Regions from separate parts of the Mus musculus genome. Here region 2 is reported to be linked to region 1. The links are microRNA targets in miRTarBase. Many come from high-throughput screens and were not tested one by one. Region 1 holds a microRNA gene; the other region holds the end of a gene's coding sequence.
Evidence for each region. The annotated mature microRNA mmu-miR-669o-5p reads UAGUUGUGUGUGCAUGUUUAUGU and lies in region 1 at 2,526-2,548, opposite strand. An mRNA with a match to its seed (bases 2 to 7 or 8) in the 3' UTR can be bound and repressed. Matches are read on the target gene's strand: a 7mer-m8 pairs with bases 2 to 8, a 7mer-A1 pairs with bases 2 to 7 and ends in A, and an 8mer does both.

Region 1 (6,853 bases):
CAAGCACTTTGACCTGTTGAGTAAGAGCATGCACGGGCACAGTACTGCATAATCTTTAAAACTCTTAGTCACATATTATGCAAGTAGATGAATGCAAGTCACCATGTGTTTGTGTGTGTGTTGCATGTGTGTGTGTGTCTGCACATGCATATCCATATACATTCATGAACATGCACACACATGTAAGCACACGTGCACATACATGGGTGGCATCAAATGAATACCAGGATGATCTCTAAATGGAGTTTGAACTCCTGATCCTCCTGACTTTGTCAATCATTTACACCTGGTGATTGAGACCATTCACTGTCCCTCTACTGCATAATCTCTAAAACTCTAAGTCATATATCATTCAAATGGATCGATGAGTACCATTCCTATGTTTGTGTGTTTCTGTGCTTGCATTTATACATGTGTGGATGTTATATATATTCATATACACACATGCACACACAACTATACACACGTTCACATGCATGGGGGGAATCACATAAATCACAGGCTGATCTCTAAGTCCTCATGAGTGTAAGCATGCATTTAAGCTCCTGATAGACCTGACTCTGGCAGTTGTCTACACCTGATGAGTGAGAACACTCACTGTCCCCGTACTGCATAATCTCTCACCTCTAAGTCACATGTTATTCAAATGGATCTAAGAGTGCCATTAATGTGTGCGTGTGCATGCATGAATATGTGTGCATGTATTTATATGTATATCAATATATATATACATGTACATGTACACACAAACACACATGCACATACATAGGGGTCATCACATGAATGCCAGGTTGATCTCTACCTCATCATGCAGTGAACATGAATTTGCACTCCTGATCATCCTGGCTCTGGCAAGGGGCGTCACCTGGTGAGTGAGACCTCTCTGTGGCCCAGTCATACAGAATCTCTAAGACTCACATATCATTGAAATGGATCGATGAGTGTCAATTTTCTGTGTGTTTGTGTGCATGTTTGTATGGGTATGTGTGTATGTATATGTATATTCATATACACACATGCACATGCACACATACATATACACACAGGCACATACACTGGGGGCATCACTAGAATCCGAAGCTGATCCTGGACTCATGAATTTGAGAATGAATTTCCACTCCTGATCCTCCTGACTCTGGCAAGCATTTTCACCTTGTGAGTGAGAGCACCCACTGATCCAGCCCTGCATAATCTCTAAAACTTTAAGTCACATGTCATTTAAAAGTATCAATGAGTGCCATTCGGGGTATGTGTGTGTGTGTGTGTGTGTGTGTGTGTATGTGTGTGTGTGTGTGTGTGTGTGTGTGTGTGTGCCTGTGTGTATGTGTTTGTGTGTATTTATATGTATATTCATATGCACACATACATTAGCACACAAAACTATGCAACATGAACATACACTGGGAAGGAACCCATAAAGCCAGGCTGATCTCTAAGCCATTTTGAAGTTATTCATAAATTTGAACTCCTAATCCTTCTGAATATGGGAAGCTTTTTCACATTGTGAGTAAAAAGTTTCATTAGCCCAATACTACATAATCTTTAAAGCTCTATGTCACACATCATTCAAATGTATCAATGAATGCCATTCCATGTTTGTGTGCTTGCATTTACATGTATGTTTATGGTATGTATATTTATATACACACATGTGCATACACAGGGACGTAAACACACATGCACATACACGGGTGGCATCACATGAATACCAGGATGATGTCCAGCTGAAGTTAAGCATGAATTTGAACTCCCGACCCTGCTCAATCTGTAATATGTTTGCACATGGCGAGTGAGACCGTTCACTGTCCCACTACTGCATAATCTCTAAAAGAATAAGTCACATAGCATTCAAATTAATGGATGAATTCAATTCCTCTGTGTGTGAGAGTGTATGTGCTTGCATTTGTGTGTGTGTGTGCGTGCGTATGATATATATATTCACATACACACAAGCACATGCACACACAAATATACACACATGGACATACATGGCTGAGAATCACATGAATCACAGGCTGATCTTAAAATCATCATGAAGTTAAGCATGAATTTGAACTCCTAAAACTCCTGATTCCAGCATACATTTTGACCTGGAGAGTGAGATCACGCACTGTCCCAGAACTGCATAATCTCTAAAACTCTAAGTGACATATCATTCAAATGGATCGATGAGTGTCATTTGTGTGTGTGTGTGTGTGCCGCATGTGTGTGCATGTGTCTGTATATGCAAAATCATATACATACATCCACATGCACACACACGAAAACACACATCGACATAAATGGGTGGCATCACATGAATGATCTATAACTGAAGTTAAGCATGAATTTGAAATCCTGATTAACCTGACTCTGTCAATCATTTACACCTGGTGAGTGAAACCATTCACTGTCCCCTATTGCATAATCTCTAAAACTCTTAAGTCAGTTATCATTCAAATGGATTGATGAGTGTCATTCTTGTGTCTGTGTGTGTGTGCTTGTGTTTATACGTGTGTGTGTATGTTATGTATATTCAAATACACACATAAACATGCACACACAACTATACACACATGCACATGCATGGAGGAATCACAGGCTGATCTCTCATGAGGATAAGTATGAATTTGAACTCGGGATACTCTTAACTCTAGCAAGGATTTTCACCTAGAGAATGAGAGCACTCACTGGCCAAGTACTGCATAATCTCTAATATGCTAAGTGACATATCATTCAAATGGATCAATGAGTGGCATTCGTGTGTGTGTGTGTGCTGCATGTGTCTGTACATGTATACTCATATATATACATTCACATGCACACACCTGTAAACACACATGCACATACACGGGTGGCATCACATGAATACCAGGATGATGTCCAGCTGAAGTTAAGCATGAATTTGAACTCCTGATCTTCTTGAATCTGCAAATTGTTTACACATGATGAGTGCGACCATTCATTACCCACTACTACATAATCTATAAGACTGTAAATCACATATCCTCTGTGTGTGTGTGTGTGTGTGTGCACGCACGCGCATGCAAGCGCACATGCACGTGTGTCTATGTATGCTCTCATGTATATGCATATTCATATACACACATGTACATGTACGCACACACAAACACACATGCACATACACAGGAGCCATCACATGAATGCCAGGCTGATCTCCAACTCATCATGCAACCAACATGAATTTACACTCTTGATCATCCTGAATCTGGCAAGGGTCTTTACCTTGTGAGTGAGAGCATTCATTGGCCCAGCACGGCATACTCTCTAAAACTCACATGTCACATGTCACATGTCACTCAAAATGATCTATGGGTGCCATTTCTGTGTGTGTGTATATCTGTGCATGCTTGTATATGTTTGTGTGGATGTATATGTATATTCATATACACACATGCACATGCACACAAAACTATACACACATGCAAATATATTGTGGGGAACCCCATAAAATCAGGCTGATCTCTACTCTCTTTTGAATTTATTTATGAATATGAATTCCTGACCCCTCTGAATATGGCAAGCTTTTACATAGTGAGAAAAACTTTCATTTGACCAGTACTACATAACCTTTAAAGCTCAAAATCACATATCATTCAAACATATCAATGAATTCCATTCCTTGTGTGTATGTGTGCATACGTGTGTCCATATACATGTATGTTTATGTTATATATATATATATATATATATATATATATATATATATATGTATATATATATATATATATATATATTCATTTACACAGATGTACACGCACACACATGTAAACACACATGCACATACATGGGTGGCATCACAGGAATACCAGGATAATCTCTAACTGAAGTTAATCATGAATTTGAAATCCTGATTCTCCAGACTTTGTCAATCATTTACAGCTGGTGACTGAGACCATTCACTGTCCCACTACTGCAGTCTCTAAAACTCTAAGTCACCTATCATTCAAATGGATCGATGAGTGCCATTCCTGTGTGTGTATCTGTGCTTGCTTGTATATGTTTGTGTGGATGTATATGTCTATTCATATACACACATGCACATGCACACAAAACTATACACACATGCACATACATTGGGGAGGATCCCATGAAGCCAGGCTGATCTGTACACCATTTTGAAGTTACTCATGAATTTGAACTCCTGATCCATCTGAATATGAAAAACATTTTACTGGTAAGTAAGAAGTTTCATTGGCCAAGTACTACATAATTGCTAAAGCTCTAAGTCACATATCTTTCAAACATATAAATGAATGCAATTTTTTCTCTGTGTGTGTGTGTGTGTGCTTGCATATACACATGTGTTTATGTTATGTATATTCATGTCAACACATGCACATGCACATACAAGTAAACACACATGCACATACATGGGTGGCATCACATGAATACCAGGATGATCTCTAACTGAATTAAGCATGAATTTGAAATCTTTATCCTCCTGACTTTGTCAATCTTTTACACCTGGTGGGTGAGACCATTCAATGTCCCCTATTGCATAATCTCTAAAACTCTACATGACTTATCATTCAAAGGGATTGGCGAATGCCATTCCTGTATCTGTGTATGTGTGCTTGCGTTTATACGTGTGTGTGTATGTTATGTATATTCAAATATAGACATGAACATGCACACACAACTATACACACATGCACATACATGGAGGAATCACATAAATCACAGGCTGATCTCTAAATTCTCATGAGGATAAGTATGAATTTGAACTCCTGATACTCTTAACTCTAGTAAGCATTTTCACTCTAAGTCACTTATCATTCAAATGGATTGATGAGTGCCATCCCTGTGTGTGTGTGTGCGTGCGTATCTATGTGTGCGTGTATGTATATGTATATTCATATACACACATGTACATGTACGCACACACAAACACACATGCACATACACAGGGGCCATCACATGAATGACAGGCTGATCTCTACCTCATCACGCAGTTAACATGAATTTGCACTCCTGATCACCCTGACTCTGGCAAGGGGCGTCACATGGTGAGTGTGACCTCTCCCTGGCCCAGTCATACAGAATCTCTAAGACTCTAAGACACATATCATTCAATAGAACAATGAGTATCCATTTTCTGTGTGTTTGTATGCATGTTTGTATGGGTATGTGTGTATGTATATGTATATTCATATACACATGTTCATGCACACATACATATACACACAAGCAAATAGATTGGGGGCATCACATGAATCCGAAGTTGATCCCAGACTCATCATGAAGTTGAGAATGAATTTTGACTGCTCATCCTCCTGACTCTGGCAAGCATTTTTACCTTTTGACTAAGAGCACTCACTGGCCCAGCACAGCATAATTTCTAAAACTCTAAGTCACCTGTCATTCAAAATGATTGATGGGTGTGTGTGTGTGTGTCTGTGTATCTGTGCTACTTCTATATGTTTGTATGGATGTATATGTATATGCATATGCACACATGCACATGCACATAAACTATACACACATAAACATACATTGGGGGGAACCCCGTGAAGTCAGGCTGATCTCTATGTCATTTTGAAATTACTCATGAATTTGGACCCCTGATCCATCTGAATATAACAAACATTTTTACTGGTAAGTAAGACGTTTCATTGGCCCAGTAATACATACTCTTAAAGCTCTAAGTCATATATCATTCAAACGTAACGACGAATGCAATTTCTTCTGTGTGTGTGTGCCTGCATATACACGTGTGTTTATGTTATGTATATTCATATCAACACATGCACATGCACATACAAGTAAGCACACATGCACATACATGGGTAGCATCACAGAAATACCAGGATGATCTCCAACTGAAATTAAGCATGGATTTGAACTCCTGATCCTCCTGACTCTGTGGTTTACACCTGGTGATTGAGACCATTCACTGTCCCACTACTGCATAATCTCTAAAACTCTAAGTCACCTATCATTCAGATGGATCGATGAGTGTCATTCCTGTGTCTCTGTGTGTGTGTGTGCTTGTGTTTATATGTATGTGCATGTTATGTCTATTCATATACACACATGCACATGTACACAAAACTATACACCCATGCACATACATGGGTGGCAATCACATGAATCACAGGCAGATATCTATATCCTCCTGAAGATAAGCATGAATTTGAACTCCTGATACTCCTGATTCTAGCAAGCATTTTTACCTAGAAAATGACAGCACTCACTGGCCCAGTACTGAATAATTTCTAATATTCTAGGTGGCATATCATATAAATGGATCTATGAATGTTATTCGTGTGTGTGTGTGTGTGTGTGTGTGTGTGTGTGTGTGTGTGTGTGTGCACGCTAGGGTTTATATGTCTATGTATATGTTATGTATATCCATATAGACACATGAACATACACACACAACTATACAAACCTGCATGTACACTTAAGGCATCACATGAATCACAGGCTTATCTCTAAATCATGCTGAAGATAAGCATAAATTTGAACTTCTGATACTCCTAACTATAGTAAGCATTTTCACCTAGAGAATGAGAGCACTCACTTGCCCCATACTGAATAATCTCTACTACTCTGAGTGGCATATCATTTAAATGGGTCAATGAATGCCATTCCTGTGTCTGTGTGTGTGCTTGCGTTTATACGTGTGTGTGTATGTTATGTATATTCAAATATAGACATGAACATGCACACACAACTATACACACATGCACATACATGGAGGAATCTCAGGCTGATCTCTCATGAGGATAAGCATGAATTTAAACTCCTGATACTCTTAACTCTAGCAAGCATTTTCACCTAGAGAATAAGAGCACTCACTGGCCAAGTACTGCATAATCTCTAATATGCTAAGTGACATATCATTCAA
Region 2 (6,853 bases), not on the chromosome of region 1:
TCTAGCTCTGCGCCTGCGCGGCGGCCCATGGTCAGGATGCCAGCTGCGTGGTTACCGTTGGCCTGAAGGAGGCGCTGCAGCCGTCCCTGGAGGCCTGGAGGTCCAGGCCGCCGCTTTCCCAGAGTCAGGATACCCGCAGCGTGGTTGCCAGCTCCGTGCAACAGTTCGTAGAGACGGCAGGAACACGTCTTCTGGCGACAGCAGTCGGGCAGAGGCTGTGCGTCCACCCCAAGCGACAGCAGCGCCGGCGGCAGCAGTAGCAGCAGCAGCAGCGTCACGGCGGCCCAGGGAACCTAAAGGGGGACAGAGACAAGGTGCAAATGGGTTTCACTCCACACAGCCAGTTGGCTCTGAACCTCTTGTTGCCATAGATCCTGCTAGGCTGTCATTGGGTTTCCTGCGGCTGGCTCCTTTGTCAATTCATCCTTCAATACACAACTGAGCCTTATCGTCTTCGAAACCTTCATAGGCTTCTCTGGGGTAGAAGAAGTTTGTCCTGTGCAAACATATTTAAAGGCTTGACTCTCCACCCACAGACAGGTGCTTCTAAGTCTGTCTGCACCAAACTTACTAGCCCTTCCCTCCACACACAGCAGGTTTGTTCCTTTGCTGGGGAAACTGTACATTGTGGCTTTGATCTAGTTTCTCACCCCCTTGGGATAGCCCTTCCTCACCTACAAACCAGGCATAAAATCATCCCTACTACCCTGTTGAGTGCAAGACATAACTGACAAGCACAGAGAACATCGGAAATACAAGAACTCATTAAACGTGAGCTCCCACACAATGGCGTACCCAGTGTTAACCAAGGAGGCAGGTTGCCAAGAACCCACCCATACTCCTCTCTCAGTGCTACACGCTAGAAAGAGCATATGAGCCCAGTCCTCGGCAAGCACTATCATGGCCTCAGTAGTCTGATGATTTATGTCCCTGTTTCTGGCTCTTTACCTTTGTAGAAGGAAAGTTCATGGTGCCTGGAGCTCAGGGGAAAGTAATCTGGAGAGATGATCTCTTCAGTGCAGTGGTCCAAATACCCAAGAAGTCTGAGGCCGTCGTCTTCAGTGGCTCGCTTCCAGGGGCCAGGGGTTTATAATGCTCTGAGGTGTGTGTGCGGGGGAGACATGAGTATGTGTGTCCACCTTAAACCAGACAAAGGCATGTCTAAGATTAGCATCTTGCAGGGGAACCGTTTCCAGGTTGGACCCAAAGAATGGCCGCCCTGTCCCTGGTCCCCAGCTTGTCTGTCTGCCTGTTCCTTGGAGATAGGGCAGTTTCCGAGTACTAATGAGGTTACCTTGCACCCAGGAATCTAAGTTCACAAAAGAGGCCTTGGCTGGGACACTGGAAGGAGACAATGGGGGGGGGGACAGTTGCTAATTAGGGGCAGAAATGGCAGTCTGAGAATTACTGTCTATGGTATGTTGAAGGTAGGGAGGGTACCTGGGTGGCATACCCTCTCACCCCCACTGACTCTGTGGTCCATCAGGTTCCAGGGCCTTTTCCTCCATGGAAACAGCTTTTGACACCCTACTCCCCAACCCCTACCCCACCCCCCAGCTCTCCTTTTCTTCTGTCCCTTTCACCAAACTCCTCCATGGAAAGTCCTGGAGACTTACTGTGGGCCACGGGTGAGAGAGCAGCCAAGCCTGGAGTTCAGAAGCTGATGAAGGGTAGACATCTCCTGGGCCAGTAGAGAAGAGGGTAGTCTTACTCTGCCATCTCCAGGATTGAGCCACCATGGAACAGGGTGTGGGTGGTCAAGGACTCAAGCCACTTCCAGGCCAGGGTTCACCTTCAGGGTCCTTTTAAGAAGCCCTTGATAAAGCCGGGCAGTGGTGGTGCACGCCTTTAATCCCAGCACTTGGGAGGCAGAGGCAGGTGGATTTCTGAGTTTGAGGCCAGCCTGGTCTACAGAGTGAGTTCCAGGACAGCCAGAGCTACACAGAGAAACCCTGCCCCCCCAAAAAAAAAAACCCAAAAGAAAAAAAGAAAGAAAGAAAGAAAGAAAGAAAGAAAGAAAGAAAGAAAGAAAGAAAGGAAGAAAGAAGCCCTTGATGTAGATCAGTCCTGCATGGGTGCAGGGACAGTTGTGTGTCTACCTATTTTCTTTTCTTTTCTTTTTTTTTTTTTGATTTTTCGAGACAGGGTTTCTCTGTGTAGCCCTGGCTGTCCTGGAACTCACTCTGTAGACCAGGCTGGCCTCGAACTCAGAAATCCACCTGCCTCTGCCTCCCAAGTGCTGGGATTAAAGGCATGCGCCACCACGCCCAGCCCACCTATTTTCTTAAATTTTCTTATTTTTAGATTTATATGTATGAGTGCTTACCAGTGTGGAGGGATCTATACTGCACATGTGCCTGGTGCCTGTGACTACCAAAGGAGGGTTTTGGAACCCCTGGAACTGGAGTTATAGAGAGTTGTGAGCCACCAGGTAGGCACTGGAAACCAAGATTGGATCCTTTGCAAAAAAGTAGTAAGCGCTCTAATGGAACCATCTTTCCAGCCTCCAGGTCTCCTCCTCCAAGGCAGGTGTCAATCTGGGTGGGGTGCAGCCTGAGCCCAGGATAGTTCAAAGCAGGTCAAGAACTACCCAGACACCAGCAAAGATTAGACAGACACTTCCTTCTGGGTGGGGCAGAGGGTCCTTCAAAGGCTTTGATGAAAAGTAGCTTCCATTAGGTAGGTAAGGGGACAGAGTATGGCTGAGAAGGGACAACGCGGAACAAAAGCTTGGATGTTACAGTACTTGGCTCCAGAGGGATGGGGTGTGGGCATCACAGTTTCTATGGAACTAAAGGAGCTAAAGGAAAAGGTAAGGTGAATAGGGTTTTCCAGGGCCTTGTGTGCTAGGCTGGGCAGTCATTGGTGGGGGATTTTAAAAGACAGGTCTCTCTCTCTCTCTCTCTCTCTCTCTCTCTCTCTCTCTCTCTCTCTCTCTGTGTGTGTGTGTGTGTGTGTGTGTGTGTGTGTGTGTATGGGGGGGGAGAGGTTGTTGTGGTGGTGCTGGGGAGATGGCTCAGTGGTTAAAGAGCACTGACTGCTCTTTTAGAGGTCCTGAGTTCAATTCCCAGCAACTACAAGGTGGCTCAGAACCATCTGTAATGGCCCTTTTCCGGTATGTCCAAAGGGAGCAACAGTGTAATCATATCCATAAAATAAATGAAGAAATTTAAAAAAAAGGCTGATGTGGGACCGGCGAGGGAGGAGGGCAGAGGGAGGAGGAGGAAGACGGGAGGAGGGAAGAGCCCAGAACAGAAAGCTGGATCCTGATCTGGACTTGGGGAGGAGCTGGGGTCTTGGTCTCCTTGTCTTGCCACTTAGTTTCCTCACTACTATGGACACTCTCTTCAGGTAACTCCAACACTCCTTCCTGCTGTGACACTTTGTGTCTTGAAGGATAGTTTCCTCCTTTCTCCTGGTGGAAGTGATTTGTGCAGGCCAGGCCAGGCCAGGCCAGGAAGGAACCCAGTGCAGGGAAGCTGGCAACAGCTCTTTCAGCTGTGCTTGGCATGGGAGGGCAGAGGAGATCTGTCTACTTGGTTGTGAAAACCCTGGTGGGAGTCTCCAGGGCCTCCTCTATGCTCACAATTCCGGGACTAAACCTAAGCCAGTGTGCAGAGTAGGTGAAGGCCCTGAAGCTCAGGATAGAGAGGGAATGGATGGGCTTTGGTGGGGAGCCCAGATAGTGGCTGAAGCAGCATGTAGAGGACCCCACATGGCATCCCCAAAGCAGGGTCCTCTATATGGCTAAGAGAGCTTTTATTATTTTTTTTTTTATGTTTTTTTGAGACAGGGTTTTTCTGTGCAGTCCTGGCTGTCCTGGAACTCACTCTGTAGACCAGGCTGGCCTCAAACTCAAAAATCCACCTGCCTCTGCCTCCCAAGTGCTGGGATTAAAGGCGTGCGCCACCACTGCCCGGTGGCTAAGAAAGCTTTATCTGAAGGCCTAGAGCCTTCAGGTTCCGTAGCCAAGTACTTGATGTTTTCACAGACAACCTGGGTTTGGTTCCCAGCACCCACATAGCAGCTCTCAACCACCTGAAACTCCAGTTCCAGAGAATTCACTCTCCTCTTCTGGCCTCTGAGGGCGTTCACATATGCGTGGTGCACATGCACACATGCAGACACACACAGATAACATAAAATACATACATTAATATTTATATATATTTAATTTTATTTGGGGGTTGATCCAGGGAACAGAATGATAGAGTAAGCAGGGGAGAGGAGGATGGAGGGATGGGGGGATCTGGTAAGAAGAGCACTGAACACTGGGCCACTGTGGGCCACAGCCTCAGCCCTTCAGGTGGTTGTGCAAGACACACCCTAGACCACGAAACAATGAGGCTGAGGTTTTCTTTCTTTCTTTCTTTCTTTCTTTCTTTCTTTCTTTCTTTCTTTCTTTCTTTCTTTCTCTCTCTTTCTTTCTCTCTCTTTCTCTCTCTCTCTCTCTCTTTCTTTCTTTCAGATTTATTTATTGTTATATGTAGGTACACTGTAGTTGTCTTCAGACACACCAGAAGAGGGCATCGGATCTCATTGCGGATGGTTGTGAGGCACCATATGGTTGCTGGGATTTGAACTCAGGACCTTTGGAAGAGCAGTCAGTGCTCTTACCTGCTGAGCCATCTCACCACCCCTGAGCCTGAGGTTTCTTCATCTGCTCCAGGAGCACTGCCTACACTTTCAGCCCTTGCTGTACCTTGGCCAAGCACATGAGAAGGACCAGCAGTCTCACGAAGGATAGGCTGACGGGAGACCATCGATGATGGGTTCAGCTGTGTGCTCCAAGCCGGCATCTTAAAACTTGCCAATGAGTCCAATTGGACCCAATCAGACCACTGTTATGTGACATCTGGTCCAGGACTCAACATCCAGAGATGTTCCAGAGGAAAGAGTGAGGCAGAAACAGGAAGGCTGGCTGCCTTGGTTAGGATATCACCCTCTTCTGCAGGAGCTGGGCCAGGTGCCTGAGCCTGATGACCCGAGGCATTTCAGGAGGGCGGCAGGAGGAGGAGGAGAAGGCTGCCAGTGCTTCCCGGAGAACCCTGAAGCTCCCTGGCCTCACCAGATGGACTTTGGCAGGACCCACACTGCCCCGGAATCGCAAGGACTTGTACTGTGCGGAGGCTTCCTGCAGGCAGTTGTCAAGCTAAGGGCAGAATAGTGAGTTAAGGCCATGATGCGATGCGGTGGCATGTGTACTGGATATGCATGACCGTATCCAAGGCCACATGCACTTAGGATTTTGGTGTGTTGTGGGACCCATACTTCCTTTCTAGATTCTCTGAAAGGGGGTGCCGCCCCCTCCCTAAGGCCCATCCTCTTCCCTTAACTCTCTCATCTCCATGACAACTGGGAGCTTGTAGAGCAAAAGAGACTTCGAATCAGACCCAGGTCTCATCATTTACCTTGTCTCGATTTTCCTCCGACAGATTCCTCAACCCCCTCAGCTCTACAAACACTTCGTAGTGTGGGGCAGAACCCTCACAGGAGTCTGAGGATAAAGCCACAGGAAAGCAGACTTTCTGAGGACAAGGCAGCTTCGAGGGCTGACACCCTGCACCCTCACTTCTCCCCTCTTCTAAGCTTAATGGGGTAAGAGATGAATAGAGGGGAACCTACAAATGACTTCTAAATATGAGACAGATCAGGAAAGAAAAGAGGTGGAGACTGTAGGGATGGAAGTTAGATATAGAGAGGGACTTCCTCCCTCCCTCCCCCTCTCTTCCTTTCTTCCTTTCTTTCTTTCTTTCTTTTTTCTTCCTTCCTTCCTTTCTTTCTTTCTTTCTTTCTTTCTTTCTTTCTTTCTTTCTTTCTTTCTTTCTTTTCTTTCTTTCTCTTTCATGTAAATACACTGTTGCTGCCATCAGATACACCAGAAGAGGGGGGCCAGATCTCATTACAAATGGTTGTGAGCCACCATGTGGTTGCTGGGATTTGAACTCAGGACCTTTGGAAGAGCAGTCAGTGCTCTTAACCGCTGAACCATCTCTCTAGCCCTAAGAGAGGGACTTTCTTTAGGAACAGTGGGGAAGGGTGTGATTAATCTCCTTCCTAGATGTCTCTGGTCAGGGCGAACATGGGTCAGTGGATAGCCAGACCCAAGAAACGGAGGTAGGAGATGGTAGAGATGCTTACCCAGAACTCTGCTCTCCACACAGACATGGTCCAACAGCTTGGCCCCTGGCCACTGCCCCACTGCTTGGGCCAGGGCCACAGAGAATACAGTCTCATCAGTAACTTCTCCTCGAACATTCAGGGTTTGCCCCAGCCTGAGGAAGGAAGAAGGAGTGGGCCCAAGGCACAGGGACAGCCCCTCGTCATCCCCCCGGGGTCACCTACCTGCAGGTGAACCTGACCACAGGACACTGATTGTAGGTACCAACCACCTGGACCACGTCACCCAGGCGGCACCTAAGGAGCGGGTTGAGAGAAGAGTGAGCTTATGTCCCTTCCCAAGGCCGGGGTTCTCATCAGAGTAGACAAGAGCCAGTTAGTAGGAGAATCACCTGGTCAGGCTGGTGTGGTTCGTCAGCACCAACTCATACTCCTTCTCCCTTTGGGCATCAGTAAGGAGGAGAGTGGAGGCTGCCTCCTCTTGGGTTCCTTCCTTGATTGGAAGCAGCTCAATAAAGGGGACTCCAGGGGGCAGAAGATAGGATCCTTGGGGTCGCTCTGGCCACAGGTTTAGGGCCACCACTCCTATAGAGAGCAAAACAATCTTCTTGTCAACCTCATGGTGCATTCCGTTCTGCCAGGCAACAGCAGAAAGTAACGCCTCACTCGGGACAGCAGGCCCGGCTCCTCTAAGCACCTGGCCCTCCTGATTCAACCTCTCTGGAGACCACCC

Region 2: the mRNA of Ghdc is a reported target of mmu-miR-669o-5p. Seed matches in the 3' UTR shown: 7mer-A1 at 4,499-4,505.

What each region holds. Positions count from the first base shown.
Region 1 is chr2:10,510,013-10,516,865 of GRCm38, reverse strand. Mir669o (microRNA 669o) reads right to left here and starts at 2,566; the gene lies at 2,471-2,566. All of the region lies in intron 10 of Sfmbt2 (Scm-like with four mbt domains 2), which reads right to left. It overlaps Mir297b (microRNA 297b), which reads right to left and starts at 5,199; the gene lies at 5,091-5,199. Mir466d (microRNA 466d) reads right to left here and starts at 4,899; the gene lies at 4,804-4,899. It also overlaps Mir669m-1, Mir669m-2, Mir466n, Mir466g, Mir466h and Mir669a-2, and 2 more genes.
Region 2 is chr11:100,761,873-100,768,725 of GRCm38, forward strand. Ghdc (GH3 domain containing) reads right to left here. Exons shown (of 9, transcript NM_031871.1): 5 at 6,513-6,705; 6 at 6,346-6,417; 7 at 6,142-6,275; 8 at 5,412-5,497; 9 at 4,460-5,152. The coding sequence ends at 4,931. Hcrt (hypocretin) reads right to left here and starts at 1,059. Exons shown (of 2, transcript NM_010410.2): 1 at 949-1,059; 2 at 1-293. The coding sequence starts at 969.